Tamandua tetradactyla: one gene and its partner. The protein of the gene in region 1 binds, or shares a complex with, the protein of each later gene. Links are inferred from orthologs where the notes say so. Each region holds a gene or a part of one and is shown on either strand. Other genes may lie near its edges.

The links.
Region 2: the proteins of protein diaphanous homolog 1-like (region 1) and PPFIA3 are in contact, whole or in part, in a crystal structure (PDB 4UWX), measured with the Mus musculus proteins. The link is inferred for Tamandua tetradactyla from reciprocal best matches to the Homo sapiens genes DIAPH1 and PPFIA3. Residues at the interface, in NP_031884.1 of Mus musculus: Lys252, Ser255, Ala256, Ile259, Gln307, Asn310, Ala311, Thr314, Pro315, Ala316, Glu317, Arg322, Gln352, Cys354, Val355, Glu358, Gln359, Glu362; in NP_084017.2 of Mus musculus: Pro719, Arg720, Arg723, Leu724, Arg726, Met727, Ala728, Ala730, Leu731.

The regions. Positions count from the first base shown.
Region 1 is NC_135346.1:21,748,459-21,764,299, forward strand, and holds the start of protein diaphanous homolog 1-like, read right to left. Parts: upstream 7,242-15,841; 5' UTR 7,123-7,241; coding exon 7,006-7,122; intron 1-7,005. Other genes in the region: HDAC3 (histone deacetylase 3), read right to left, coding at 9,649-9,718, 12,351-12,508, 12,819-12,898, 13,182-13,240, 13,367-13,456, 14,795-14,859, 15,022-15,095, 15,467-15,547. UniProt on the Homo sapiens protein: Actin nucleation and elongation factor required for the assembly of F-actin structures, such as actin cables and stress fibers. Binds to the barbed end of the actin filament and slows down actin polymerization and depolymerization.
Region 2 is NC_135342.1:11,995,300-12,011,163, forward strand, and holds the start of PPFIA3 (liprin-alpha-3), read right to left. Parts: upstream 6,174-15,864; 5' UTR 6,087-6,173; coding exon 5,706-6,086; intron 5,527-5,705; exon of another isoform or gene 5,444-5,526; coding exon 5,342-5,443; intron 5,001-5,341; coding exon 4,836-5,000; intron 4,527-4,835; coding exon 4,452-4,526; intron 3,912-4,451; coding exon 3,837-3,911; intron 3,505-3,836; coding exon 3,283-3,504; intron 2,358-3,282; coding exon 2,211-2,357; intron 2,113-2,210; coding exon 1,978-2,112; intron 1,775-1,977; coding exon 1,691-1,774; intron 1,578-1,690; coding exon 1,446-1,577; intron 1,108-1,445; coding exon 1,045-1,107; intron 943-1,044; coding exon 863-942; intron 551-862; coding exon 406-550; intron 1-405. Other genes in the region: LIN7B (protein lin-7 homolog B), read right to left, coding at 11,436-11,457, 11,803-11,966, 12,713-12,922, 13,539-13,610, 13,858-13,976, 14,305-14,341. UniProt on the Homo sapiens protein: May regulate the disassembly of focal adhesions. May localize receptor-like tyrosine phosphatases type 2A at specific sites on the plasma membrane, possibly regulating their interaction with the extracellular environment and their association with substrates.

The DNA of each region.
Region 1 (15,841 bases):
CAGGAAGCCAGGAGAGAAAGCTAGCAGATGACTCCGTGTCTGCCACATGCCCTTCCAGATGAAAAACCCTGACCATGTTCGCTATGTGCCTCCTCACTTTGAGAGAGAAACCCTGAACTTCATCACCCTTCTTGAACCAAGGTACCTTTCCCTAGATGCCTTAGGTTGGACATTACTATAGAATTGTTTTAATTGGAACATTTTCTTGGCCTTACAGCTGTAAACTAGCAACTTATTAAATTCCCCTTTTTAAAAGCTGTTCTGTTTCTGGTATATTGCATTCCAGCAGCTAGCAAACTAAAACAACTATAATAAGAATAAATTTTAAATGGACAAAATATCTGAATAGATATTTCACCAAAAAAAAGATATCTAGGTAACAAATAAGCATATGAAAAGATGCTCAATATCATTAGTCAATAGGGAAATACAAACTGATGCCACACTGAGATATCACTAAACACTCACTAGAATGGCTAAAATTTTAAATACAGCTCAAACCAAGAGGTAACAAGGAACTGGAATACTTATCCATGTCAGTAAGAACGTAGAATGGTATAACCACTCTGGAAAAGAGTTTGGCAATTTTTTAAAAAATTAAACATACATCTACCATATGACCCAGCCATTGTACTCCTAAGTTTTTACCCAAGAGAAATGAAAACATATGTCTACAGAAAAATCTGTATATGAGTGTCCATAGCAAACAAACAAATCTGGAAATAACAAAAATGTCCATTGGCAGGCAAATGAATAAACAAAGTGTGGCAGATCCACATAACACACTACTACTCAGCAATCAAAAGAAATAAATTATTAATATATGCAACATATTTTATGCTTAAAGAAGCCAGACCAAAGAGTTCATGCTGTTTGACTCCTTTACCTACAATTCTAGAAAATACACATTAATCTATTGTGAGGCAAAGCAAATCAGTGGTTATCAGGTGGGGGTCGTGAGGAAGAGTGAGGGGAAAGATTACAAAGGGACCCAAGGACACTTCTGAGGGTGATGGATGTGTTCATTATCTTGACTGTGGTAATGGATTCACAAACTATACACTTTAAAAATGTGCAATTTACTGTATGTTAATTGTACATCAATAAAGCTGTAAAGAAGGAGGCGAGGGGTTGGTTTGCCAAATTCCAAACAAAGCCACTCTTGTTAACCATAAAGAACACCTAGGGCTCTGAGATTCTACAAAAGTTTCACACAAAGACTACTTTCCAGAAACCTACAACCTCCAGATGGTTCCTAGGCCAGCCTAGGCCATTTAAGTTCTGAAACCCAGGGGGACCAGTATCTCCAAGAATATCAAATAATTCCATCCCCCATCACCTATTATCGACACCCCTTTCCAACATGAAAAAGTTAGAATGGGCAGAGCCCAAATACCCCTAAAAATTGGGAGAAGGATAAAGAAGAAGGAGTTATAACAGAAGATAGGATTTAACAAATGAGTTTGACTGGTGAATCATTATATTGATATTTCTTTTAGTCTCCAGTGTCTTGGAGCAGATAAAAGGAAAAAACCTGAAACTGTGGAACTATAACATACCAAACTCTGAAAGCCGTTCTATGACTTCTTGTTACAATGTACTTTGAAATTTATTGCTTTTTTTTGTATATATGTTATATTTCACAGTTTAAAAATCTTAAAAAAAAAAAAAAGGTGACAGGCAACTTTTTTACTTGATCCTAAAATTCTGACATTTACAATAAAAGGCAGAGACAACTGAGATGGAAGGCTCACTACCAAGGTATCCTGGTTTTCTGTGGCCTCTCAGCTCAAAGAATGGTTTGTAAAATCATCCTCTGTTGGGTCCTTAAAGTATGTTGAACCTTAAAAGAAAATACAAATCCTATTCCTTTATACAGTACTACTCATAGGACAGGGTATAAGTCACAAAATCAGAAATCCAGAAAAGTAATCCAGGACACCATAAATTCTATCTGTATCTGCTACTCTAGCAAAATGCCCTAGTAGCTGCTGCCTAAGGATCTGCACACCAGTTACTGCCACCCCATCAAGAATGGAATTTTCCCATATTCCATATAAGAATCCAATGTGTTTCTCTAAATTCAGTTCCGTTACAGTTATTCTCCTTTGTATGCTCTTATCTGTTCCAGTCCCGTCTTGGAGGAAAGAAACTTAAACAAATATTTAAAGGGCAAATTGACACTCCCTAACTGTAACAGAGCCAAGCAAGAGACAGCCAGTTTCTTCAATCTTTTCCCTCTTAGTCTCCCAGCTTCTAGTGCATCTGTTCCTTTTGTATAATCCCTTTATACTATTTCAGCTATTCGAAGATCCTGAAATTTATTAAAGGAAATGCAGAATCCAACATTTCTGCCCTTCCTCCTTCGTTTATTGATGTAACATACACTTTTTAACCCCCTGATGTTTCCAACCTACCACTGCAAGTAGGGACTTCGGCACTGCGTGGGTGTTCAGGCATGATGACATTTAAAGTTCCTTCCAACTCTAAAGTTTTAAGGCTACCATTCATAGCAAGCTTTAATAATGAATGGAAGTAAGAATCTCAAGTTGAAAGAACAATGATTCAACCAGGGTTATTCTGTCAACTGTCATAAAATTCATTAAAACATTGGTTTCAATATTTCTTTTTTCCTTCAATAATTCTTTTATTTCCTTAAAAGAGTTCCTTGAGTCTCAAAACTGTGTTTGGAAGGAAAGACAGGGAGAAAATAAAGTAAAAGGTATAAATGAAACATTCTTCACTTTTCAGTTTTCGTATCATCCGCCTCTTCCTGGTTCTCTAAAGGCCTGACTGTTGCCGTGTCTCTAGCCAGTCCCTACAGAAAGCAGGGAGGGAATAAAAACAAAGTGGGAGAGGATGAGAGGCAGCAGGTCAAGGAGGGTCAGCTTGCCTTACCTAACCCCAACGAGGGGAACACCCAATGCCACTGTGCTGGTTGACAAGAGGGAAGTTTTTCTTACTGCTTTCAAGCTAAAGAAGAACAGGGGATTCAACATAATAAAGAAACAAACTTAATTAAAACAAATCTTGTTTCAAAATGGGGATGGCTTTCCTAGCCAAGAATGTTATCAGCTACTGAGATATAAAGCAGAGAAAATTACACCTGCATCTACAAATTCTGTTTCTCTAAAATACCTAGTATTTCTTGTCAATAAACATAATTTTACCTGTTCTTCTAAGTCATATGTGGTATAACCTTATCTTTTAAGCTTTCATTACATTTCACTGAAGATACAGCACTCTCCAAAAATAACTTGGCAATCCATCTACAAAATACACTGAGGACCCTGGAGGATAACAAAAGGTTATTCTCTCATACAAGAAATAAAATTTGTTTATTCTGAACCTTTGTGCCCATCAATAAAGTTACATCACTTCTCATTCATTACTATTTTCTTAGCTTTTATAAGAAACATAATTTACAGGTCATAAAATTTTCACCTCTTTTTATAAAAGTACCCCACATTCAGCAACTCTCCCAAGGCAGAGATTTTACATCTAAGGCATTCCCTCAGTTTGACCTCCTGTGAGGACTTCCTTTGGGACACGCACATGTGACATCATCAAATGGACCCTTTGGCTGTCTTCAAGAGACAAGGCAGGATGATGGGCAGAAATGTCTAAAGTAACAATCATTCTGTCACTTCAAACATATCAGTGACATGATCTCTAGGCTTTCTTCCCTCTTCCCAAATTAAATTATACCAAATGTCCGTCATCTTTCAAAAACATATGACTGCTCAAAGCTCTCTGAACAATCCTTGGTTTCCTGTGACCTTTGGGATCACAGTTGCCTTCTTTATGAGATGAACAGACTTGTACACAAGCTCCATATCTTTCACATTTTATACCTTAACTAACACCTCCTTAAAATTCTGCCTGGCATCCTTCACCTTTGCGCTCATTTGGACAGAGGTTCACAACTAAACATGTATAATCTCACTATCTTTGCTTTCAGAAGGGCATGAAACTGTAACATGGTAATAATTCGGCATACGCATCCAAAATCACACAAGATTTTAAAAAATTATATATCTTGGATTTTTTTCTAATCTCACTAAAATTCAGGTTTTAAAAAGTTATACTCTGAATCAGGAAGTTCTTCTCTTAGAATGTATCGATTTCTTGATTGTATGAGAAGGAATGGAGTCTATTAAATGCAGGAATATTCTTCAGCCTCCTAACATCCTGGTTGTACTTACTCCCCTTAAACTTCAGAAATCAGTATATTTGACACCCACATTTACCACTGCTGTTGAGTCCAGAAAACACTCCACATTCCATTTAATTATAGTTCTCTTATTTCCTTCATCTTAAGGACTTCCAAACACAACTGGAATGATCCTGGAGAAGGGAAATGCACAGGGCCTGGGAGAAGACAGACACATGAAAAACCAAGGGGGAGTACCAGGTCGCCTGGCTTCAGCCACTCATGTCAACATCTCTCTAATAATCATATATTTTAAAAGACGGTGTCCAAACACTTTTTAAATTTAAGACTCTCTATCTCCTTTCCACACAAGATTGCCTCAGAGGGTAAGAGCTCTGTTTTCTCATTCGATGATCTGTACACAGAACCTCTATAAACCCAGAAAGGTATGTAGCAGCTAAAGGGATTAATATTACCCCTCAGATGCAAACAACCTCCAGGCACACTTTGTCCAGACCAGCGCAGTTTTATAAAAACACTCTTAATGGTGTTCCAGAGGCCACACACTCTAGAAAACGTGGAGTAGGCGAAACAGCTTTGAGTTCCGTTTTAACCTGCAGTTTAAGAAAACCAAGCCATGGGTAACAAAAGCACTGCAGCAATCCTGCCCACACCGCCCGCCCACACTTACACACACACACTGACACAGAGAGAAGTGCATTGCAATGTGCCTAGTCTTCCATTTCCACAGAATTCAAACAGAATATTCTGATGACTTGAGGCAGGTCATACCTGGCAATAAAGGAGTTAAGCTGCACTACTTTCCTGGGAACCTTCCAATCCCCTAGCTACTAAAGCAAATCTCTTCACTGCCTATACTACATATTTTTAAAACTTCAACTGGTTAAGGGTTAAGACCAACACCTCAGAAAGAAAAAGAGAACTTGGTTCGGCTCCACCCTCTCTAAAGCAAATACCAACTATTCTGAGACAAATTCATTCAGCAAAGAAGACTCAGTGACATTCCCAAAACAGGTGCTCTCACCTTACAGCATCACACATGAATGATTCACAAATTCACGAAACACACCCATATTAGATAAAACAAAAACACACAGAAAATTCCACTAAGATTTGAAAAAATATTTACAAGTCACAAAAGTTATTATAAATCAGCAGTGGGAATTCAGGTTAGGAAGGTCAAACAATACCCATGGAAACAAAATCAAAACAAAAAGATACAGAAACCAGAAGGAGTATGGGCCCTAGAACTTAAGTCTTAGAAGGGAAACTTTCAAACCAGAGGGTCAATTCTTAGCCTAAAGAAACATAGGAAAATGCTGCTTTAATCATCAAAGGTTTGGGGGAGAGGGGGACGACACTCCTGTTAATCCTACACTTATAGACAAAAAGATATTCACCAGATAAAAACAGGCAGTTACCGACAGCCTGTAAATCACTGGAAAGGAGAGTCCAGGAGCACCTGGTCTTAGAAACAGGTAGAAAAGAGATGAGTCACTGTTTTATTTTGTACTAGTACTCTCCACATCTCAACCTCACAATATTTTCTTCCTGTTTCCACCACTATTTCCCAAACTTGTGGAGTTGGGTCAGAATGCTGGGGACAAGAGAAAACAGAAAGAAGAGCTATAAACCATTTGGTCAGTAGAAGGGGAGGGAGACGCTGTACCATCTAGAGGGAAAGACTAAAACACAGTTACAACTAACAAGCGATTATTAAGATCAAAGACTTTTCCCTCTCTTGGACAGTGCCCCAAATCTTTCTGTTTTTATGATAAAAAGTAGACAAGTAGCTCCCTGCAGAGAGGAGTAAGGAAAAAAAGATTTAGTGTGGGCAAAAGGTAATGAAATACGGTAGGATTACATGAATAGCAATTATTTCTCCAGACTAAGGTTGGAAGTAACTGGCACCTGAGGAAATCCATACTCTTCGACAGGTAGGAAAAGGGAAGTGAGCAGCTTTGAGGCACAGGAGGTGGCAGAAGAGGAGTTGAGGAGATGGTTATCACGGAAAATGTATAAAAAAATTCAATTACTCACAAACTTCTTGAACTTACTAACTTCCTCCCCATGGGGGAGGTTTATTCCCATCCTAGGTGGAGAAGGGCATAATCCTGGGAGAAGTTCTAAACCCCTGAAAAGTGTTAAGCAACAGGGCAAAGAAACAGGTTTTTTGGAAAGAGAAATATTGGGAAGCAAATAATTAACGTCCAAGGCCGAATGACCAGAGGACCTAAGCAGGAACCTATTCCTGTATCACATGGTCCAAATCAGGTAACATTCCTGAGCGGAAGGATTATCAAGCGACACCGGGCTGAGGGCCCAGAGTGGGGACGGGGCAGGGAGGAAAGTTAGCAGGTGAAAAGGATCAATCATGGGGAAGGAAGTGACCTTTTGGATAAGGAAATAAGAGATTACAAAAAAAAAGAGGGGGGGAGGTAAATGGACCCAGGAAAGCATAGGAGATCAAGATAGAGAAGCCGTGAGCGGGTAACAGAGAAAGAAAGGAAGTGGGGCTGGGAGGAGAGAGACCGGGCAGAGAGCTGGCCGGGGCTGTGAGGACGGAGGGCAGAGCTTGCCGGCTGGAGAGTGAAAGAAGCCCCGCGGCTACCGGGGCAAGAACCGGGTGAGACTCCGGGGCTTCCCGAGGTCCGGGAAGAGGAGGAGGATGTCGGGCTGAGGAGCCAAGGACCCAGCTAGTCAAGGAAGGTAGGCGCGGGGGCGGCTCCCGAGAGATAGGCGGGAGCCCCTAGGCCCGGCTGCTGGGGTTTCCCGGGTCCCGAGCCGGTTGTGGGGACGGGCAGAGGAAACCAGGTGGGAGGGACACTCACAAATTTCTTGGATTTGCCGCCGTCGCCGCCCGCCACAGGCAACTCGTCCGGGCTCTTGCCCTTCTTCTTATCCCGGGTCCCGCGGCCGGGCCCCAGGCCCCCACCCGGCGGCTCCATGCCCCGGTTCGCGCTGGCTGGCGACCCCCGCGCCTACGTCGCTCCCGACGGGTCGCACCGCGCCCGCCGCCGCCGCCACCGCCCGCCTAGCAGCTCCTTAGCCAGCCGCCGCGCCCCGCCTCATTAGCATGCCGGGCTGCGCGCGCCTCATGAATATACAACGGTGACGCCTCGCTCCCGCCCGCCTGCCCCACTTCCGCCCGGACGCGCAGCCCCTACCAATGGGGGAAGGAAAAGGGGTGGAGGGGAGTCGCGGAAGCACACTACCTGCCCGCGGACCTAACCATTCGGCCCACGTGGGGGATGACGAGTGGGCGGTACAGCTCGATTAGGCCGCGACTGGCAACAGCGCTCCCTGGCTGTACGAGCGGCGAAGACCAGGTCTCCTTGTTCCCACTCAGCTTCCACGTGTCTGTCAAACCTGAACCTACTCTCACTCAGACCGGGATATTATAATCTGAGCCAAAATTCGAATCAGAGGTACCGTTACCCTGACAGAAAATTTAGTGCCGGATTTTCCGGGATAGTGCAGTTCTTACATGTGAAATACACGTAGATTACATTGAAAGTGACAGCTGCCATTTATTGACAGCTAAATACCAAGAATAGAGCATGGTCCATGCTAAACCCTGAACCAGACTAGCTCCGCAGTTAGAGTGCCTAGTTTCGAATCTCAGGTCAGCTACTTTCTAGTTGTAGTTCTAATTTGGACAAACTAGTTACTCCAAACATTGGCCTAGACAGTATTAATAGTTCCATTTACTGAGCATTTGCTCTGTGCTAGGCACTGTGCAAAGCACACATGTATCATCTCACTCATTAGACCACATGATAGATTCTACTAGTCTTCCAATTTTACAGATAGGATATTAGGGTTGTGAGAGTTGAAGTGACTTGCCTAAGAACACAAATTTGATAGAAAAGAAAAAAAAAAAAAAGAAACACTGGTTAGTCTGACTGGCAAGCCCTGTTTTTAAGCAGGACTCTCCACTGACATAAACTGAACATGAGTGAAAAGAAGGGATGTTCTCCAAGAGCATGTTCTTTGCTCTTCTAGTGTGACGTTCTCCCTTGGCACCTGTCCCTTGTATGAAAAGTAGATATTCAGTATGACCCCACAGCATGAATTGCCTTGATCACTGGTGACAAAAGATTTCAAGTGTGCATTCCTGAAGGTCAGCGTACTCACTCTGGTACCCCTGTCCAAGAGCTGGTATATTGCAGAGACTGTGTCAAACTGGCTAGCTCCTAATCTGGTATTCATTTCTCTGGTGCTCCAGACCCTCTAATTGCCTGAAAGAAAGTTGTATCAAGCTGTCCAACCCACACTTCAAACTCAACTTTTTCAAGAGTTCAAAAACTGCTTACTAAGCTGGAGTGCTGAGAAACAAATAGGATCAAAGGATGGAAAGAGTGGCTCATCTACTACTCCTCTTTCTTGTACCACTGTCTGTATGTACTATAACATTTATTACAATCCATGTGAACTTGTAACTCTTTCCCTTACTGGATTGTGAACCACTCCAGAGAAGGGTCCATGTTTTGTGGCTACTATGGTAGCTAGCTTTGTTCCTTACACAAAGATAAGATAATGAGACTAATAACTACTTTTGTCAGGCACGGTGCTAAGCACTTGACATGTTTTATTGTAATTTATAGTCAGCAACTAGCATTGTTATTCCAAAACCCAGGTTCAAAACCCTGAAGTTGTCTTCTATTTCTTCTCTTAAACTAGTAATCTATCCAGGTTTGTTTAACTCAACCAGAATGCTTAACTCCCTGAGTTGAAGTAAAATAATCCATATAGAATATATAATAGGTCCTAACATAAAATAATGTGCTGAATGAATGTTAATGATGATTCTTATTATAAGCATGATTACCCCTTTTCTTCTTCCCTTCACACATGGGCAGATAACACTAACAGGAATTAAGAACACTCCCAGAAAGGCAAAAGGTACAAAAAATACCAACTTGATTTATTGGATAAAAACAGTGGTAAAATGGACATGAAGCCAAAAAAAGTTAGAACATGACATTTTCACATCTTCCCCTGACTCAAAACCATACGTCAGATTATCTGAGATTAAGGTTTTAGTGAGTCAGAGGCCCCTGAAACCTCTCATATTTCACCTGTCCTGGAAGCACAGCCTACAGCAGAACACCCAGGCATGAAGGAATCAGAGGCAACCTCAGTCCTGCCTACCCTTTTAGGCTGAAGTCTCTGGGTTGGAGGGAAGCATGGAAGGAATAAGGGAGGTAGAGGGGCTGGGGTCTGGCTCCTAGGGCCCACTGCCCAAGGTAACCCAGAGACAGCTGTCTTTGCTTCCTTCCCCTCCCAACAGGTACCACTGTCAGGCCTGGGGAGGCAGAGGAAAAGGGGAAGTTGGTTCTAGAACCAGATGTGGTCTCCGAACCCTTCCCTGGTTGTGATATATCCAGGAATAGAGAAGTCACGTCTTCTCCCTCCTGCCCAATCAAGAGGTGAAAAGGAAGTCCTTGGGACATAGCATCCCCAAGCCACTCTTAAATCTCCACGTCACTTTCCTTGTCATTGTCGTGGTCTCCATCATAGAACTCATTGGGTGCCTCTGGCCTGCAAAGCAACGGGAAGGAGATCAGGACTCCAGTCTCCAAGTTCCCCTCTCTGGAACTACTTCTCAGACCCCCTCTGTCAGGGAACCACTCCTTTCCTCCTACTGATAGAGAAAGATTGCTATCATTCATCCATTTATGTATTCAATAAACATTTACTGAGGGACTGTATTGCTAAAGCACTGTCACAGACTTCAGCAATACAGTAAAGAAGCCAGATAATGTTTCTACCTTCTAAGGGCTTACACAATGAAACTGACAATAACCTAAAAAATATAAAAGCAGGGTTCATGGGTGGTTCAGTGGGAGAATGTTTGCCTTCCATGCGGGAGACATGGGTACGATTCCCAGACCAGGCACCCCTCCTCCTCCCCTCAAAGAATAAAAAAACACGATTATTTCAGATGGTGGAAAGTGCTATGAATAAAATGAAATAGTGACATGACTGAATGTGATGGGAGGAAAAGGGTAAATTTCAGACAAGATGATTAGGGAAATTTTTGTAGGAATTTAAGACCTGAAGTCTGAGAAGGAGCTGGCCAAGCAAAGATCTCAGGAAGACTATTCCAAGCTGTAAGAAAATCAAGTACAGAGGTCATGTGGTAGACTTATGTATTCCAGTAAGAGCAAGAAGGCGAGTATGGCTAGGAATAGTTTGCATGGAAGGGAGTAGTTAGAGATGAGATGAGGGATATAGGTAAGAGCCAGTGTGCAGGGCCTTATTAAGCCATGGTCAGAAATTTGGATTTTCTTCTAGGTGCAATGAAAAGGAAGGTTTTAAGCAGTGGAATGACATGATGTTATAAATCTGTAGTGACAGAATGACTATGAAAACAATATTGGGCCCAATATTGTGTGATCTAAGGAAAGTTACTTAATCTCTCTGAGCCTTGGATTCGTCCTCTGGCAATTGAGAATAATAATCACCTCTTAGGGCTGTCTGATGATGATAGGATGATGACCCAAAGATATGTATGTTGTTTATAATGCACTTAGCATTGAGTCTGTTGCTTAACAAACCCACAAAAAAATGGTAACTCATTATTATTACTGGAGCGAAAGGCATCTCTCAAAGAAGAACAGGAACTGAGTAAGTGGTCCAACAGTGTGTTAGGGCTAAGGAAGTAGCCCGAGGCTTCTGCAGTGGACAGTAAAATGCAGATACTAGGTTCAGATGCCAGTCAGAACTATAAATGAAAAAGTCAAATTTTGTCAAAAGGAAGAACCAGCTGTAATAACAGACTTTACCAAACCAAACCAAACAGTGAAAACCAATTTCCAGAAGTCAAGTCGCAGTGACCTGGAGAAGCTGAAAAAGACATGATAGGTCAAAAAGGGAAGGCCTGGGGCCGGATGTCTAGATGCTTCCTCTAGGAATGGGATAAAGGAGTACTCAGGTGGGGTGCTGTAGGAGTTCCAAGGGTCAGAGCGGTAAGCCCAGGCCCAGAGGAGAGCTCTGGAGGCCTGAACTCTAAGACAGAGAAGTAGATTCTGGAAGAAACTGAAAAGCTTGTTAGATTCTCCAACAGGGCCAGCTCAAAGCTCTGCCACTGTTATGGTTATCTCTCAGTCACGTAAGGAAACCTGTTCTCTGATAGGTACATCTGTTTCTGTACTTCTGGATTCTTTTATCTTTTTCCTTTGTTTTTCAGAATAGGTTGGGATTTTTTTTTAAAAGAATTCTATACTTTTATTTTTATCCACAATTCACTGCATCTATATTTTAGCTTGTATCTCAGAAAGATAAAGGCTTCATTAAAAAACATAACCACAACACCATTATCACTCTGAAAAACTTAAGAGAACAAAGGGCATATGGGCAGTGACTTGGAAGGAGTGAGTAAAATGCTGGCAAGAACATAAATTGCTGCAGATTTTCTGGAAGGCAATTTGGCTGCAAATATAAAAAATTTTAGTGAGCACAGCACTAAAATTGAACTAGCAGTGACAATTCTCAGCAGAGAAATTTAACCCACTGAGTTACTCAAACAAGCAGGTATATGTGTAAGGGGTTGTTTGCCGCATTTTTGGGTAATGATAAAATGGAAAATAATCTATCCATCCATGCTAACTGGTTAAATTAAACTATATCCACACTATGGAATATTACATAGCTGATAAAATAATGAAGCAGATCTACATATATTGATGGAAAGAGGAACTGTTTGTTAGGGAAAAAAAAAGTCAGGCGTGAGTTCTAGAGCAACATGGATAGAATGATCTTACTTGTATTTTTTTTTTTTTTAAAGCACAAACCACTAACTCTGAGTATGTGTGTTTATATGTGGAACAGTACTTTTGTTACCCGAAAAAAAAAGGTCTGTCTGAAAAGGAACAAATCAAACTATTAACGTAGTTACTTCTTTGGAATGGGGTTTGGGACTGTGTGAAAGCAGACAATGTATTTTGGTGCTGTTTGAAATTTTTACAATGAATATGTACTACTTTTGTAATTAAGAACAGAAATGGGTTAGGGGGGAAAGAGTAGGGGAATTGTAACAGGCTGAGGAATAGGTGTACTAAAAGAGGCAAGCCAGAAACAATAAAGCATATCCTCCAATGTTACTTTATCCCTCTTAATCCTCCCCGCCAAGCCTGCTGGAATCCCTGCCGTCGAGGCCCTGACCCCAGACCTGCTGTAGTTCTCCTCGGGACCTCTCTCCTCTGCATCAGCCTCGTCGGTCCTGTCATAGGTCAAGAGGTCTGAGGGCACATCATGAATCTGGACACTAGGCGCATGGTTCAGCATCTTCAAGTTCTCAAAGATTGTTTGGCGGATCTGGTCCAGATACTGTTTGGAAATGAGGAATAGGGAGTGAGAAGCTCCCAGTGATTCTCAGGGCATCAACCCTTCTAACTGCCTTTCACCCCTACTGTCCTAATTTTAATCCCAGAGAGTATTTCTAGTTCAGGTCCACCAACTGGTAACTGTCCTTCCCTCCAGCCCTGATTGCCTCTACTTTAACCTGAGCAGCCTCCTACTGAGAAGTGATAGTGATAACTTAGAACTGCCTTTTCTTTTTTGATTTCTCTTACTTCCCACATCCTGGACCCCTCCTAGGTTCCCCCACCACTGTACTCAGTTTCTCCGAGCTGCTGACCTGGCGTGAGTTCTGATTCTCGATGCGGGTGCTGACATCTGGATGGAGTGTGAAGTCTGGGGCAAAGTATTCGAAGTATTCTTTTCAGGGGAGAGGGAGACAGGGAGGTTATGAAGAGAGGGTAATATGGCTCAGACTGAGAGAATAAAGGTTCAGGCAGGTCTTGAGACTTCCCAATCGCTTTCCTTCCCACCTAGACCCATTACATAACAGCTGCTCCATCTTTCCCATGCTCTGAGCCCAGGGGTTTAGTCTCAGAATTCTAAAAGTGTCAAATATCTCATCTGCCTTCAAACGAGGCCATTCTGGGGGTCTTGTGAGAATGGGCTTCCTGTTGTGGAGGTGTCCTGGGGTGATCCTTACCACTATAAGGAAGCTCCTCGCTAATGGCCTCTTCTACCAGCAGTGATGTCTCATAAGTCCTAAAACCAACCAGCAGATTGGGGCAGGTTGAGCAGGTGGGCTGAAGGGCCCAAATGTCCATCTCTCAGGGAGTCCCCAGTTCACACAAGAGAAAGGAGCAGAAGAAAAATCAGTGAGGGGCTCACCAGCAGCGGGCCACATTCCGGACAGTATAACCACCTCCACCTAGCACCAGGAGAGGGATATTGAAGCTCTTGACGTATTCGACACACTCCCTGTTAAAAGAAACCAGGGGAATGGGTGGAGGAAGTTCTCGAAAGCCAAAGTATATGCCCCTAAGTATTGCCTGGAAAGGGACACAAGGGAGCTCTCCCTTCTGGGGAATAAGAAATGTTTGCTGGGTGGTGAAATTCATTGAATTTCATTGAAGATTTGTGTACTTTATTGTATATATGGTATATTTCAATAAAAATTTAAAAATAAATAAATTGTAGCCCCCACCTCTGTTCTGTTCAATACCCTCCCTGGCAACTCACCTATTAATCTACCTTCTCATTAACGCACCAGCAAGTTCTGTCAATTCTAGCTTCCAAAATATGACCCAAAACATCTACTTCTCTCCATCTCTATCACCCCCACCTTAGCCCAGACACCACAACTCCCACCCAACCAATGCCAACAGCTTCCTAACTGGTCTGCCCACTTTCATTCCTGTTCCCTCCACCTTTCTCCACTCAGCAGCCAGCACAGTCACTTTAAAACACAAGGTGGAGAGCGGGTCATGGTGGCTCAGCAGGCAAGAATGCCTGCCTGCCATGCCAGAGGACCCAGGTTCGATTCCCGGTGCCTGCCCATGTGGGAAAAAAAAAAAAGGAGTAAAACACAAGGTGGATAGTTGTCACTTCCCTCTTTAAAATCCTTCAATGGTTTCCCATCATATTTGGAATATAATTCATGCTATGTACCAAGGTCTAAAGGCCCTGCATAATCTCGCCACTGCTAACTTCTCAGACCTCACCTGAAATGTCCTTCAGCTTGTTCACTGTGTTCTAGCCTCATTAGTTTTGCTTCATCTCCTCCACTATACAGTTCTTCCCTGCTTCAGATACTTGGCTAGTCTCTGCCTGGGACAGCCTCTTCTGGCTTGCTCCTTCTTAGCTTCCAAATCTCAACTCAGATTTCACCTACTAAGAAAATCTTCTCCACATCAGAGTACCTAAAGTGGGTTCCCTACTGTTATCCTATGTCTTAGCTCTCACTGTTTTCCTTCATAGGATTTATAACAATCTAAATACTTTGTTAGCTTACTTACTTCTTCTATGTTTCCTACACTAAACTGTAAAATTCATGGGAGGAGAGACCTTGTCTGATTCCCTGTATCCCTATCTCCTATATTCCAATGCCTGGAACATAATAGGTGCTTGATAAAAACCTACTGTGAATGCATAGCCAGCTGGAAAACCCTGCTCAAGGTGACATTTTTGGTTCAAGTATAATTCACACTATTTTTGATTCCCAAAGATGAGGTCCATTCTCCTACCACCCCCACTCAATGTGTTGGGGTCCTCAGGTCACTTGAGAACCTGGAAGAATGGAAGGAGGGTGAATCTTACCCATGTCCTCGGATGCTGAGGTTGAAGCAGCCCAATCGATCACAACCCAGAGAGTCAGCACCACACTACAAAAAGCAAAACCCCAGGCAGCTGCAGTGTAAAACTGATCAGAACATCATGGATATCATTCATTTCCCTTCCCCCTCTAATCTAAAGAATCTCCTCTTCCCTGCTCTCTTCCACCAAGCCCAGATGGAGCTCTCCCGAGAAGGCACTGGCAGTATTACCTGTAGCACAATGCATGTGGGTTGGTAGAAGTCCACCACTTGGTTGATAACCGGCTGGAAAAGGTGCTTGTAACCTGGGAGAGGGCCAAAGATGGGCACCTGGCACCCCAAGGGGATGGGGAGACAGGGAATAAAAGGAAAAAGGGGGTTGAGAGAGCATGTAGCCCAGGAAAGGAGCAACCCAAAGAACCAAACCATTGGTTCTGATCTTCTGGTGAGGGTTCCAGACCCCTTTGAGTAATTGATGAAAGCTAGTGACCTTTTTCCCAGAAAAATGCACATATATACAATACATTGCATACAATTTCTGGGGTTCATGGTCCCTCTGAAGGCCATTCACCCTGAAGGACATCTGGCCCAAGAATAGAAAATACAAGGCAGAAGAGTGTGGTTGAAGGAGAGAAAGAAGAGGCACAGTGAACAGAGAGAAGACCACAGTACTTACTCTGGTCATCGATGCCATCCCGCAGGGGCACATTGAGACAATAGTAGCGGCCACTTTCTGCTCCAACTTCATACATGTCACCTATAGGGAAGGGGAGATAATGGCAGTGGGAGCCACGCACGAGGGGCACATACAACCCAACTCTCACTGAGGACTTCTCCACATATCTATATAATTCCACAGACTGATTAGAGCCTCCAAGTCTCTCACAGCTTTCAGTTACTCAATAAATATTTTTTTAATGCCTATGAGGAGCCAAACTTTGTTTCAGGTATTGGGGACACAGCAGTGAGCAGAACTAATAGAAGTAATGAAATCCCACCAAGCTTATATACACAGTGGGCAGGAATGAAGAGGGAGATGGCAGACAAACCA
Region 2 (15,864 bases), on another chromosome or scaffold:
TTTCCCAGCCCAGCTTTCTCTTGTGGAAGGTCCCTTTTCTTGATGTCCCCCTATCCCCCCAACCCATAAATCAGAACCATAAATCAGAACCACACCCATCACTTCTTCCCTCCCCCAATCCCCTGATCCCTTTTTCTTCTGGCCCCACACTGGGGACTACCCCACCCACTGTCCCCAAGACCCCACCCTTCTCACCACCCTCTCACTCCTCCAAGGTTCTCACCAGGTAGAAATGTCCACATGAACAGACAACAAGGAAGTGGGGACAGTGGAGTTGCAGGGAAAGAAGAGAAAACAGGGTAGGTCCAGGAGACCCTGCTTCTCAGCACCCCACCCACCCACCCACTCAGAGCCCCACTGCTTGCCCAAGCCCTACTCAATTCAAGCCCAGAGGCAGCTGCTGACCTTGGAGGGCTCATCTTTGACCCCCGACCAGCGGCCCCTCTTGCCTGCCCGGCCACTGCCAGCCCCATAGGGATCCAGGTGAGCACCAGAAGGTAACGTGGGTGCCTGGGAGTAACGGAGCTCCAGGGCACTGCCAGGGAGAGACCTATGGGCATGGGGAGGCAGTCAGAGACCAAGGGGTCAGGAAATGGGAAAAGGGAACAGAGGTCAGGGGTCAGGGGTCAGGGACAAGAGCCTGGGGGTTAGGGGAGTGGATGAGGGATCCAAAGTCAAGGGTCAGGAAAAAGGGCCTGGGGCCAGGGATCATGAGATCAGGGGCCAAAAATAAGAGGGAGGGCTGTAGAAGTCTCAGAATGGTAGGGAGTGGGGAACCCTGAGGACCAGAAGAGATGGCTTGGCCAAGGGACTCCATGGGTGGGGGTGCAGAAGAGGGGAGGGGCACGAGTTCTGCTGCCACCTGGAGTAGGAAGACGGCGGCCTCCCCCTCAGCTGATCAATCTCCATCTGCATCCGCTCCATCTCGGCCAGGAGCTGCTCCTGAGGGAGGGGGCGGGGCCCATCAGACTCTGCCCCGCCCCTGAGGGGCGACCCCTGCAGGCCCCTCCCCGGCCTCACCCCCTCTCGCCGGCCCCTCCCTGCCTTGTTCAGCAGCAGCTCGTCTTGAAGCTTCTTCATGTTGGCAATCTCCTCGCTCAGGGAGTTCTGTGGGGAACAGAGGTGAAGCCAGGGGGCAGAGCCTGAAGGGGCAGGCCTAAAGGAACCCCAGGATAAATGGGGTGGGCACGAGGATGAGACCAAATGCATCTGGGGAAGGGAGACCCTGGAAAACCAGAATTCCGTGTCCCCCTCAATCTCAGAGGACCCAAGGCTGGAGGATGCTGAGGGCTGTTGGCTTTGAGTGCTGACAGTTCAGCCCCTAACGTGTTTAGCATGAAAAAGAGGTCCTAGCAATAGAGCCCAGAGGTCGACAGGATTGGGGATGCTGAGGTTGGGGGAAGATTCCTGGAATGTAGGTGGTCGGAATCCTGGATGGGGCGCACCTTCTCCTCTAGCGCCCCCATGCGCTCCTTGAGATGCAGCTGCAGCCGCTCATTGGACTCGCTCAGCAGCTTGTCCACGGTCTCGGACAGCCGCTTGTTATGGTCGTCGTTCATCTTTTCCCGCTGCCGCGCCTGAGGGGAGGAGAACAGGGATGATCAAGGCCCCGCCCCTGGCCCGGGGAGCCCCGCCCCGGCCCGCCCCCAAGCCCCGCCTTCTCCACCGTCTTCCGGGCCGCGCCCCTCACCCGCTGCAATTCCTGGTTCTTCTCCTCCAACTGGGCCTCCAGCTGCCGAAGCCGCTCCTCGAAATTCCCATGACGTTCCTCGGCCTGGTGGATGGAACCCACGGCCTCTGGCTTGGCCCCACCAGGCCCCAGCCGAGGGCTCCGGGCCCCGCCTCCTTCCCGGCTGGGTGCCAGGCCCCGCCCCTGGGGCTTCAGGCTCCTCCGCCCCGCACCTGCGCTTCAGGGCCCGCCCCCTCCTCCATCTCCAGGCCTCCTCCATCCCAGCCCCCCGCCTTCCCTCCCCGCACCTTGTTGAGCGCCGCCACGCGCTGGGCCAGCTGCGCCTCTATCTCGGGCAAGGTCTCCGCCTTCTGCAGCGTCTGCTGCAGCTTCTGCTTGGCGTCGTCCAGCCACTCGGCCAGCTGACGGCTCTTCTCTTCACTCTGGGGCCGGGGAGAGGCGGGAAAGGGGCGGCCTTAGGTCGCCTGGGCGACGGCCCCATCCCTCCACCCCCATCCTCCCTCCCGGGCCGTGCCCCCACCTGCCGGTACAGCGACTCCTTGCTGGCCAGCTCATTCTCCAACTTGTCATTGGCGTCGTGCAGGGAAGTGGCCTCGCGCTGGGCGCTCAGGTAGCGCTTCTCCAGCGTGGTGATCCGCTCCTCCATGTCCTCGCGCTGCGCCAGAGCCTGCGGAGGGGACCGAGGGTCGCGTGGACTACAGCTCCCAGAAGCCCCGGGGGGGAGCCTAAGCTTAAAACCCCAGACCAAGCATCCCAGGGTGTCCTGGGAAATGAAGTTCCCTGCCGTCTGCGGGTGTGGGTGGGGTGGCAGAATGATGGAAACCACACCTCACCAGCTTCTAGGGCAGTACCAGCTTAGCGTCTCCCAGTGTGGATGGCCTAAGGCCCGTGGAGGATAAAGCCCCCACTCTTTTGGGGTGACTCTCCTCAAAACGCCAGGTCTCACATTATCCAACAACTTCCGACACATTCCGAGCTTAGAATCACAGGGCAAGTGCCCTAGGGTCTTGTGGGAAACAATGTCCCCTTCCATCCAGGAGCCGCCACGGTAACCAAGGCTTAAAACCCCAGCAGGGATGTTTCAGGGACACAAGGGAGGTGGACTCTGGTCTGAGGGCCTGTGGGGCGGGACCATGTTTCCCAGTAGCCCCTGGGACAGTCAAAACTTAAAACCGAGGTGAAAGCCCTTGTGGGTTATGAAAAATAAAATGCTCTCTTTTCTTCACATACACTGCCGTTGTGAATCTAGGCCCTACATTTTGCAGTAGCCCTGGGGCATAAGAGTTAAGATCAAGGGGCTAGGCCAGGAAGGGGTGCCTTACAGACAAGCAAATTTAATTTAGAATCGCAAGAGAAGTCCTCAATGATTCATAATAAGTACAACCAGCTGCTGTGCTCCTACTATATGCCACACATCAATCCCTGACAAGGGCCATAAATGCCATTTCACAGGTGAGGAAACTGAGGCTCAGAGAGGAGGGTCCACATAGCTTATTCCACCACTCATGAGCTCTGTGACTTTGGGCCAAGGTGGGGAGGGCTAGGGTCCAGGGGAGGGACAGAGGGCAGCCCGCCAGGGGCTCTGGCCTCACCTCCTTGAGGTCACGCTGCAGCTTGGCGTTAGCTTCCTCGGCCTTACCCAGCTCGCGGTGGGCGGTGCCCAGCTCCTCCTCCAGCTGGCTCATCTGGCGGCACAACACCGCCAGGCGCTCTCGCAGCTGGCACACCTCCCCGCGCTGCCGCTCCAGGGCCTCCTCCAGCTCTGCTGTGCGCCGGTTCGAATCCCCGACAGGACCCAGGCCGTTGGCAAGGATCTGGAGTAGGGGCAGTGAGGGAGGAAGGGGCAGAGCCCAGAGTGGGGAAACAGAGACACAGAGGGAATGCAAGGAGAAAGTTGATCAGTGCGGCTGGGGTGGAAATCAAAGATCGGTAAGAGTCCCGCAGGGCAGCCTCCACGGGCCTCAGTGAGGGTCACTGCAGTCAGCAAGGTAACGTGAATCAGAGGTTAAAGGTCAGTAAGGGTCATAGGGGTTCAGATGTTATAGGGGTCAGTGAGATTCATACCAAACTTTAAAAGTCAGGGGCTTGTGTGGAGGTCCCAAGGGCAGGAAGCCACCAGGTTGAGGGAAGGACTTCTGCCCCTCACCTGCCCATCCCCGTCCTTGCCCGGCTCCTCCAGCCCTGACCGTCGCCTAGACAGCTGCTCTCGAAGGTTCAGAGTCTAGGAAAGCAAAAGGGGGATCAGGGCAAAGTGGCTTCCCAGAACCCCCAGCTCTTCTTCCCACTGGTCTGGGCACTGGTCCTCAGAAGGGGAGGACATTGACTCCTCCATGCAAGTTGTCTCAAGTCCTGCTGGAGCCATCCTGCTATCCTTAGACCCACTCTTATAACTCTCTTTAGCTGCCCACCATGGAGGGGTTACCTGGGTCACTTAAACCCCCTTGTGGATGTTTCCTCCCATCCAACCATCCGACCATTTTCCCATAGTTAGGTTTTGCCTTAGCCCCAGTTCTTGGTTCAACTTGCCTTGGTCTCATTCTCACTCTCCCTGAGGTTCCTCACCTCAGCTTCCCACCTGCCCAATGAGTTTCTCGTTAGGTGTTCTCCATAATCCAATCCCTTTGGTTCTCTGGCCTAGTCCTGCCCAAGTTGCTTCTCTCCCGAGCGTCTCCCCTTATCCCAAGCTATTGCCTGCCTCCTAGGCCTTGCCCCATTGGTCCCTCCCCATGGATTCAACCTCCCTTTCCTGGCCACACTCCACCTCCTGATTGCTCAGCTCCAACTCCTCCTCCAGCACTGCCACCCTCTCCAGCGCCATCCGCAGCCTCTCGCGGACCTGGGGATGGGGCAGGACAGGAGCGAGGTGGAGACCAGACCCAATCTAACACAGTCGACCCTGACCCAGAACACCCCTGGCACAAGCCTGATTGGGCAATGTTAGGATTCCTCGATCCATAATGGGTGTGCAGTCACAACCAGCTAGCCGGTAGCCTACCCCAAACCCACTTTAGGAGTGCCCTAGCCCGCCACAGCCAGAGAATCTCACTCATTCAGGACATATCCACCCAATCACAGCCAGAATCCCTCCCTCTCAGGACAGCCCCAGCCAACCAGGGGCTTTTCTTCCATATCTCCAATCTCATACCTTCTCATCCAGGGCCTTGTGATGCTCGAAGAGAGATTTTAGGGCCTTGAGCACCTCCACCTCGGAGGAGACCCCGCCCGGGGACTGGGCCTGGCGCTTCACCACGGTCATGCGCAGTGACCTCTCGTGCCTGGACACCAGGCACTCCAGGTGTTCCAGGAGGAGCTACAGGGAGGGGCACCGGGCCAAGGAAAAGATTTGGGCAGAACACATGGAGGAAGAGGGTGGAGCCAAGGGGAGGAGACAGGCAGGTGCAAGAGAGGGATAGCAGAGGTCCAAGTGGGGCCGAGGAAAGAGTGGTACAGGGGAAAAGAAAGGTTATAGATAGGGCAGAGTACATGAAGGTAGGGGAGTGGAGGGGGGCAGTGGAGGAGACCAGGCAGCACGGAGGAGGAGGAGAACACAGGAAGGCGAGGTGCAGGGAAGAGAAGGGTCAGGCCGGGTCGGGCCGCGTCGCTAGTGGCCCCGCCCTCCCCTCTTAGGCCCCCGCCTCCAACACCCCTCACCCGAGTGTTGTTCCGCTCCGCCTTCAACTCAGCAATCTCCTCCTCCCGCTCCAGCAGCTGCTCCCGACAAAGGTTCAGCTCTTTCGTCAGGGCTGCAAACTCCTTTCCGGGCGTGGGAAAGGTTCAGGATGGTCAGAACAGCCGCTTCCCCATCTCTCATGCCCTGAGATTGGGCGTCTGCAGGCCCCGCCCCTCCCGGAGAATCCCCGCCCCCTCTCGGCCTCGGCCCCGCCCCCTGCCAGCCTACCTCCCACAGACTCCTCCCTTCCACGCGCTAAGCCCCACCCGTTCCGGCCCACTGCCTCGGCACCTCCCCGGGCCGAGGCCCCGCCTCCCGAAGGCCCCGCCCCGGCCCCGCCCAGACCTGGGGCAGCGCGATGCTGAGCTGGCGCTGCAACGAGTCCTTCTCGTGGCCGAGCTCGCGCAGCCGCAGCTGCGCTGTAGCCAGCCCGTCCTGCGCCTCGCGCAGCGTCTCCAGCAGGCGCTCGCGTTCCGTGAGCATCGTGACCATGAGGCGCTCCAGCTCGCCGCCGGTCTCGTCCGGGCCCAGCGCCGAGCCCCGCCGGCCGTCCTCGCTGATGGTGGGCATCACCTCGCACATCATGGCGGCGGTGCGGGCCTGCGGGTCGGGGGCAGGGGGCGGAGAACTGAGGCCCGCCCTTCGGATACGACCTGAGGGAAACCGAGGCGGAGCGGAACCCAGGCACTGCAGCGAAGAAGAAATAGGCTCAGCAACTCTGATCATGGCGGATCAACTGAGGCTCGGCCGCCAGGGTTCTCCACGAGGAAGGCTAAGGGGCAGCCACCAAGTACTGCCTAGGGGAAACTGAGGCCCATCCACTGTGATTATTACACAGGAAAAACTGAAACAGGATTAACTGGCTACCTGAGTGAGAGCATTGGGGAACCTGAGTTCAGTCCATCGGCAGTGGCAGCAAATCTGATACTCAACCCAGCCAGCTTCTCAGAGAAGCAGAAGCCGGGAGACCCAGGCCTTGCCTGAGGGAATGTATGTGGAAACTGAGGTCCAGGCCAGTCCTCTTGGAATCATGCCCTCAGGAGGTCTCAGGACTGGCCTCAGAATTAGGACACTGACACAAGGAAGGTCCTCACCTACTATCCCTTCCAACTCCTGCCTCTTTCCTTTTCCCAGTTATCTGGACCCTGGCTCCGAAGGATCTAAAGACCCCACCACCACCACCGTCCATTAGAAATAAATAAATAAAAAGTGTTCCAGGGGAAGGCCGTGCTAGTGCCCTCCCTCTAGGACTCAGGAGTCCCACTATCCACCTTCTTTCTTCTGGTCACAGGAGTCTGGGCCCCCAGCTCCTTCCCCCTTAGATCCATAAATTCCAGCCTGCAGACACGTCTCCTCCCAGGACCAAGGAATTCTGGGACCATCCCATTACCCCTCACCCCCACCCCACCCCCAAGCCCTCTTGGGGCAGTAACGGGGGAGGGGGGGCAGGTGTTAAAGGGAGGTGGGTCTTCTTGGAGGAGGGCCAGACTTGGATCACAGGAGTCAGGAGTCGGGAGCAGGAGCGGGACAGAGATGAAAGGAGGGCCCCCAGGCTGCTCCCTCCACAGACATCAGGTCAGACGGGTTGGGCTGGCCCAGCCAAAAGCAGTAGGGACTTTCATTTTGTTCCCTCCCATTTCCCTCTTCCTCCTAGCAGCATAACCAGTTTTGAAAGGGGATAATTCAGAGCCCTGCCCAATATGCTGTGTCCAAAGCATGGGACCGGGCCTTGGCTCTGTGAAGTAGTGAATCTGGGAATCTAGACACTTGAGCTCCCAGCATTCAGACACCAAGATTCAGGAAAATGTTTATCAGAGGGCAAGTCAGTCCTAGGCCAAAGAACGAGCTGGAATCTAAGCCCAGGATCTACTTAGAAGATGCAACACAGGATGTTTTAGGGAGGCTGCTTTAGAACCTAAATTCATGGAGAAGAAAGTAAAACACAAAAAGGCTGGCCATTGATTCTAGAAGGCCACTGGAAGGAAGACAGTACAGAGTGCAGAAAGAACATATGCTTCCACATTTACAAGTTTGAGGTGAGGTCTACACATAGGGCCACCAAGAGGGGCATGTTCTAGGACTCAGGTCTGGAACCTAGAACCTAGGCAGGCAAGAACAATCCAATAACTTAAGAATGCCTGAGCTGCACAGAACCCCAAACATAGAAGGGAGCATGATGATCACCTAAGAATAAACCTAATGTAATACACACCAAACCCAGCCAGGAGACATAATCTAGAACTCAGAACCACCTGGGATGTAGATATAACACAGAATATAGCAGGGGTTATATTCTTGATTTAACCATGTGTCTGTACTTCTAGGTTCTAACCCTGAAATGCAGAAGACATGGTCTAGAATTCAGAGCATGCCCTGGAGGCAAAGAAAAACCTAGAAAGAGCAAGGAGGTTGCCTGGAATTTAGAAGTGCCTGGGGTGAATTGCAGAAGGATACACGCTGAGATTTGAGAATTTCTTGGCATAAGAACTGAGTAGCAAGGAGAGGTTATTAGAGATTCTAGAAGAGGAGAAAGCCTAGAACATGCTTAGAACTCTGAAATGCAGGTGGAGGAGGCAGCTCACAATCCACCAGGGAACAAGTTCTAGGCTAAAGTCACACTAGGGAAAAGATGAGCAGAGAAGGCAGGAGTGGATGAACCTAGAACCTAGAACTTGATACATGAGCCTAAAATCTAGAACTTGGTGGAAGGCAGATGTCATGTACAATGGGGGCAATCTTCTAGATTTAAGACTGTGGAATTGGGTAGAGCCTAATACATCATAGAATTGATAATACAATTTGGAAAAGGGCTAGAGCACATAATTGGGACATGCACATTCTAGAACTTAGAATGCTCCTGGAAAGATAATGGAATCTAGAACAAAGTTAAGGCTGTGGCTGGAACTACTACACTCCTAAAACGAAAATTTAGCAGAGAATTAGCAAGGACTGGTTTTTAAAAATGTAAAACATGTCTGAGGAGAAGATGGGATTGAAATTTGGCTTGAGGCATTACCTAGATATTTGAATGCTTCCGGATAAAGACAAGCCTAGAATGTAGCATCTGGCCTAAAATTTAGAACATGCCTTGGGTGATGATGGAACAGATAAGTCACCTGGAAGTATTCTAGGATTTGGAAAAAATCTAGACCTTAAAGCATTGTAAAGGGCACATGTATAACCAGAAATGTGGAAGACAGCAGCTTGATTCTAGATCACTTGATAAGCCACAGGACACATCTGGAGGAAGGGATGTATGTTTGGCTTCCAGCCCAAGGGTAGTTGGATGGTAAGACATCAGGATAAAGGCCTTAGGAGGCAGTAGGGTGCTAGAAGCACCCCAAGAAGCTGGGTTTCAAGGAGAGAGTAGAATCCCGGTAAGCCCAGCACCTGAGATGATATGGAGACACAGTCAGGGTCACAGGAGATATAAGGTCAATTGGGGGGTGGATGCGTAACATAAGGCCATGGGATTCTGGTCCCCTAAGTGAGGACTGAGAAGCTAGATAACTTGGGGGAGATGGGGGGTAGGCAGAGCTAGGGACTTGGATCCTTGCCAGGGTAAAGGTAGGGGTGCTGGAAGCTTGAAAGCCCGAATCCTTTTGTGGGGTAAGGCTGTGGCAGATGCTTTGGTGAAGGCTGGTGGGCTGTTCAGAGGCTGAAGTCTGAACTGGTCCCTGGAGGGATTCAGGTCTGGGGACAAGACATCTAGGTCTCCAAGGCGGAGGGTAAGTAGAAGCCTAAGAACTGCAGTTTTGGTCCCTGAAAGGAAGAAAGTCATGGCGCCTGAATCCCTAAAGGGGCAGATGCTGGGGGTGCGGGGCACCCGGTATATTTGTCTGAGGGGCACAGGGACTGTTGAACTGGGTCTCAAAAGGGGGTGAAGGCTGGAAGGCTAGACTCCGAGGTCCTGAGGGGGTGAGGGCTGGGTCCTTAAGCCAGACAGGGTGAGCCCTGACAGGGCTCCCAGAGCAGGTGCGGTCTCTGGGTGCCAAGGTCCCTGAGGTTGACCCGGCAGAAACCTTCAGAGGCCCTCGCTCCTCCAGGAGCAGTGGGGGTTCTAGAAGCCTGGGTTGCCAAGGATGTGGGCTGAGAGTGGAACCCCAAGGCCCGAGTGCCTGGGCCGGGGAGGGCCCGGGTATCCCCGGGTCAAAGGCGCCGCGGGAGGGATCCCGGCGGCGGCGGCGGCGGCGGCGGCAGGGGATGGGGGAGGCGAGGCGGCCGGGTGCAGTGACCATGGACAGCTCCAGAGCGGGCTTGTGTCCAGGGCGGCCGCCTAGGCTGCCTGGACCGACCGACGCGGCCGCTGTTCCAGCCGGGAGGGCTGGAGACCGACAGACCGGTTGCGCGAAGGGGGCACGCTGCGGACGCGACGGGGGGCGGTCGGCCGGGACCGGGGGAGCCTGGCACAGCCGCGGCGGGGGTCCGGGGCCCCGGGGGCTGGGCGAAGGTTGGGGGGTGATCTAGGTTCAGAGGGGGCTCCCGGGGCTGAACTGGGAAAGCCAGCCTTCTGGGCCCAGGAAGAGGCACAAGGCGGCAGGACGCCTGGGATTCTAGGGTTTGGTGGGGACTCTGGCCGTCGGCAGCGGCGCGCCTGAACCCCCGGAGCTGGGCAGTGAAATCTGGGCTCTTGGGTCCCCGGAGATGAGGAAGGGAACCCGGATCTCGGGGAGGCGGGGGAGGCTCGGCGAGGGGTCCCCGGGCGGGCACTGCGAGGCGAGCCGGGCCGGGCTTTTACCTACCTGGTCCGCGGCGGCTGCGGGCGGAGCTGGGCTGCAGGATGGACGTGGGGTGGGGTGGGGGGACCGGGCGGGGCCCCTGGCGACGGCCGGGGCCCAGATCTGTGGCTCCGGAGCCCTGTCTCCGCCGCTCGCGCGGGCTCCGCGTCTCCTGCTCGGGTTCGGGCGCTGGGGACCCCCTCCCCCTCACGGTCTCGCAGCCCTCTCCCCACTAAAATAGCCCCCTCCCCCTGTGACCGCTCAGCCTCCCCCCGCGAGACCGTAGGCGCCAGATCCAGGGGTTCCCACCAGCGCCCCCCAAATCCCACCTTTACCCCCCCCAAGAAAATTTCCTCCACCCTCCCCCCACCCCCACAGCTCCCAGGCGGTCGTGGTCCCTTTAACAGGAGACTGACAGACGGCGCTGGTGGGCCAATGGGAGGCTGCGTCGGCGCCGGCCGGCGATTAGACCCCGCCTCCGCACAGGCCGGGAGGGGTCGCGCGGGCGGAGAGCGAGAGGCGGGCTCAAGGAGCTCTGACCAATGGGCGTGCGGCGTGCGCCGGCTGGGGCGGGAGGCGGAGTCCGGCATGGGGATGATGTCACCTGGAGCGAGTGGCGCGCGGCGTGGAACGCGAGTCGCGACCCCGGATCCCGGCGGTGGCGCGCGCCGGCCCTCGCGCCGCACGGGACAGGAGGGCTGGGCGGGGTGAGGGTGCAGGGTGGGTTGTAAGGTGGGTGCGGGTTCCGGAGAGACGCGCTCCGGCTGGAAGGTGGGGTGAGGACCGGGTCGGCGAGTTTGCCCCTTATTCCGCACCCCCTGCGCCAGCCTCGGGAACTGCACGCGGTACCCCCACCCCCGCCTCCCACGCAGACCGTAGTGCGGCTTGCAGGTTCCCCCGGCGGACCAAGCTAATGGTTCGTTCCGCCCGGCCCACACAGAGGCCGCCCACTGGCTCCTGCAGCCTTTCGGGACTCCTCCGTCAGACCAGCCGCGGAAGAAGGGGCTCGCCCCCGCCCTCAGACCCTCTTAGGGCCTTCAGTCCCGCCCCCTCACTCAGATCCAGGCTGGGTCCCAGCCTCCGCCCTCGGAGTTGTCCCTAGGAAGCCGGCCAGCCTCGGCCGTGAGACCTGAGGAGAGGTTTCCACCTCTGTTCTCAGACTCTGAAAAGGGCTTTTGCTGGGCGTGGTCTCTGACCTCGGCTCCTCTCCCTCCCCCATTCCTCCAGACACTCCAGTCCTAGGAGGCAGGACAGACACACAGACGCACAATGAGATTCAAAGATCTTTAAATAAGGGATGGTGACAATAAATACTGTACAGGGGTGGGGGCGGAGATGAGGGTCCAAATCTGTGGTTTTAGCCTCGAGACTCCAAAGACCTGCAAGGGGGTGAAGAGAAGGGAGCCAGGCTCAGTGGAGGGATCCTGGGAAGACATGGGAGAGGACCAGGACCCAGATTCCAGAGGCAAGGGCCCAGGGAAGTGGGTTCCAGATCTTGAGATAGGATTAGGCTAGGACCTCCCAGGGGATTTGACCAAGCCTTCACTTGGGTCAAGGGCCAGGAGGCCAGGGAAAAGAAGCCAGGCCTGGGTCAAGGGTCAGGGTGCCAGGGAAGAGAAGCCAGACCTGGGGGTGGCATTCAGGACCCTGGAATCATTGGCCTGGTTTGGGAGTCCAGGGCTATGTGGGGCTGTGGAAGGTCCCAGCGGTGACAAGGCACTCACGAGTAGCTCTGGTGCTGCTGGCGCCGGCGAGCGGAGCGCATCTTCTCGAAGCGGGCCTCCATCTCCTCCAGCACGCGGGGCGTGTAGCGCACCACCAGCTTTACAGAGCCCTGAGCGGCCTTCAGCAGCTCCACCGCCTTCTCGTGCTGCTCACCCTCAACGCTCTGCAGGGTGGTGCACCCACAGCTGGGCCCAGGGCTCATGGCCCTCTGCCTGCCCCCACCCCATAAACGGGAGTAACTGCTTGTGAGCACAGTACCGTCTCAAAATGCCAAGGCCTCCTGTCCCTATGGAGAGTTAACTCTTGGCTCAGTGTCCCCCCCCCCAACCTTTCAGGTTCTCTATGTCAGGTGTTAGGGATGACCCTATATCCCCTCAGTAACTGAACCTCACCTGCAGGCTCATCCTCATTCCCTACTGCCCTCAGTCCTCAGTTCTATCCCTCCTGCCCCTATTTCTTCTCCTTTGTCCCTCCTTGCATGTCCCAGACCTCCATCAAGGCCAAGCCCTTTCTCTTCATTTCAGAAGAGTACAAGACTCACAGCTCCTACCTGCAACAGCCTCAGCCAGGAATACCCTTTTTCACCTTGTTTGCCTGGAAAACTCCTGTTCATCCTTCAAAACCCAACTCAAACATTCCTTCCTCATTCGGATTGGTCTGATGCCACATCTGCTTTCTCACAAGGCTTTGTGCTTCCTCCCTCACAGCACATCATCTGGATCAGGACTATTTCAGTCAGGGTCTATCTGAGAGGCAATCCTTGAGTGTACGAGCTGAGGCCAATTTCTCACAGGGTCTGCAGCACTGCCCAGCCGTGTGGGCAGTCCTCAATCACTTTGTGTTGAATGAATGAATGTTAAAAGCAGGGCTGTGCCACCTTGGACAGACTATGCCTCAGTCACCACTCACCACACCATTTACGGACAGCAGCTGGTCCCCACGCTTGAGGCCTCCGTGACGGTCAGCCACGCCCCCGGGAATGACGCGGGAGATGTAGATGGGGGAGTTCTGCTCCTTGCCACCCATGATGTTGAAGCCCAGGCCTTCGTCTGTCTTGGGCAGCTCCACCACCCTGGGGTGAGCGTGGCCCTCACTGGCCGTGAAGGCGGCCACCGTGGCCTGGGAGAGAGACAGCATCTGGAGTGGATGGCCCCTCTACGGTGGGCATGCGGCCTGGGGTGGGGGATCTGAGTCTGGGAGGCAGATTGCTTTCCCCAGACATGGGGCGTCTGCCACAACTCAACTCCAAATCACCTGGTGATGACCATGTGCCTCCTGCTTTCACTCTAGGTGCTTCTGATTACTTCGGAAAGAAGTCTCGGTTTCGTGTGTATCTTTACCCCCCAACATCTGCCAATCTCACTTTCCATCAGTGGGAAACAAGCAAGGCCTAGAGGGAGCTGAGAGCCTGCAAGGAAGCTACAGGAAACAGTGTCTAACTATATTTCACTACGATTTCACTGTTTAATGACAGTCACTGTTTTCAACGTATAGATTTCTAAGGTTACCTTCTAGTCAGGAGGGCAGTACTGGTTTCCATTTGTAGTTGTCAAGGATGCCTTTGTAGGACTTTTGTTTGAGTAAAAAACATGAGAGTATTTCGAGGAAATCATAAATTTAACGGTAAGGGTGGTACAAAAGATTTGGCAAAAGGGATGGCTGACACGAGAGAGACACTGAGCTGGCCCAGGCAGTTCGTTCAGACCAAGAGGGATGGGGGGCGGGGGCCACCTACCTTCGCGGTGGCGTGGGCCCGGGTCTCGGCGCTGCCTGTGATGTCCAGCGTGTCGTAGAGCTGCTCGTACACCTGGGAGGGGACGCTGCAGCTTCGGGAGCCGCCGGGTCCCTTCTCCCTCGCACTCAGGGGGCCAGGCTCCCACACTCCCTCTTCCCTCCCACCCAGGGGTGCGCCCCGTCCCCGCAACCCGGGGCCCGAGGAAACTACAACTCCCCAAGAGCCCCCGAGCAGAACCGCGAGCGCCACAGGGCGGCCGGGCGCTGCTGGGACGCGTAGTCCCCGGGCTCCGGGCGGCCGGGCGCCGCGCGGCTCTCACCTCCCGGATGGCGGAGCAGAAGCGGCTCTGCAGGACCCGCTGGAGGGCCTGCAGCTTCTGCGGGGGCAGCTCCCCGCTGCGCTGGAGCCGCTCGAGGAGCTCCACCGCCCGGGACACGTCTGCGAGGCGGGGCAGGGGCGCAGCGAGGCGGCGGGAGAGGAGCAAGGGCGAGCGCAGCCGGACGCCCGCAAGGACAGAACAGAGCCGGTGGGCGCCGCGGTCAGTCGGGCGCCCCGCATTCCCCGGAAGGGCCCCCTCCCGCAGCCACTGTGCGGGGGCGTGCGGCCGGTGCCCCCCGCTGCGACCCGCGGACCCTCCCACGCCCACAGACCGCCCGGCCCGTCAGGCCCCGCCGGCTCCCCGCGTCCCCCGCGCAGCCCTGGCCGCGGGAGGGGTAGGCACGCGGGACCGGGGCCGGGGCGGGCAGGGCTCCCGGGGTGCGCTTACCCCGCTCCAGCCCCAGCGGCTCCACGAGCGCAGCCATGGCACTGCCGCCGCCGCCGCCGCCGCCGCCAGCCGCCCCCAGCCGCCCCCCTGCCCCCGCGCCGGCGAGGGGGGCGGGGCTGCGCGAGGCCCCGCCCCGCGAGACGGGCGCCCCCTGCCGAGACGCGGCCCCGCAGTGCCGGGGTCCCGACCTGCCCGTCTGCGCGTCGCGCTGCCTTGCCTCCCCCCACCCATCGTTCTGCCCTGTTTGCAGTCACTCCCACAGTAGTCTCTGTTTGTCCGTCCTTGCCACCACACCCGTCTGTCCTCTCCATCTGGTCTTATTTCAGCCTTCATTCGACAAACGTATATTGGACGCGGTGATGAGCAAGGCAGACGAGCCCACTCCATACACGGAACTTCGTGTCTAGCGGGAGAGGCACAACCAACTGCGGCTGTGACGAGAATCGGGAGTGGGGAGGGATGACCGAGGAGAGGAAAGACGCCGGCGCAGAACCTGGAGTAAGAGCGCCCCGAGGTGGGCGTGGCCCCCCTGCCGGAGGAGCGAGCAGCCTGCAGAGCCCTGGAGTTTGAAGGCCTGGAAGAAGGGCCCCCGGGGCTGGGTAGCAGAATAAGGATCGCAGCGATTTAGAATAGCGGTGGCATGTGGGCGTCGAGGAGCTTTTACTTCCTGCGAACCCCGTGATCTTCAAATTTGTATTTGAAGATCACGGGGGCCACTGTGTGGAGAATTGGATGGGAGCAGGATTAGGGAGGAACATGGTGTCCTCTTGCACCAGTGCGGAGGTTTGGAGGAGGATAGATTTGGAAAATATCTGGGTATGATTTAGGACTAACCAAATAGTGGAATAGGGAGTGGGGAGGAGGCCTAGGGCATATGAATATATTATGAAGATGACCTAGCCAAACCCCCCAAATTTCCAACAGTTAAAGTCAGGAAGAGGATAAAGAATGGCCAGAAAGGTGGAAAACCAGGTTGGAGAAACCATAAGAGAGTGTTTAAAAAAAACGAGTAGTCAGTGGTGTCGCATGCCAAAGGTAACTGGAAAATGTTTACTGAATGTAAGACATGGAATCATTGGTTACTTTAGGAAGAACACTCTGCAGGTAGTACTGGGGGAGAAGGCCAGACTGAAAAAAATGGACATAGGAAACGCTGACAAGTCTTGCCCCTCCATATTCTGGTTCAGCTGGATGGGGAAATGGATGGGTTCTCACAAAGTGGGGGAACTACAGCAGGTTTGGTTAACCCTGTCTCCTTCACAGTACTTTTTCTTTTATTTCTTTTTTAAAATTTCTATTACGGTAACACATACAACAAAAATTTTCCCATTTTAACCACTATCGTGTATAATTCAGTGAAATCACATTAACAATATTATGCTACTACCAACACCACCATCTGTTTCAACACTCTGAACTCTGTACTCAACAACCAACAATACCCATTTGCCCACTGCCTAGACTCTGATAACCTGTAATATACTTTGTCTCCATGTAAGTGAAATCACACAAATGTGTCCTTTTGTTTTACTTATTTTAGACAACATGATGTCTTCAAGT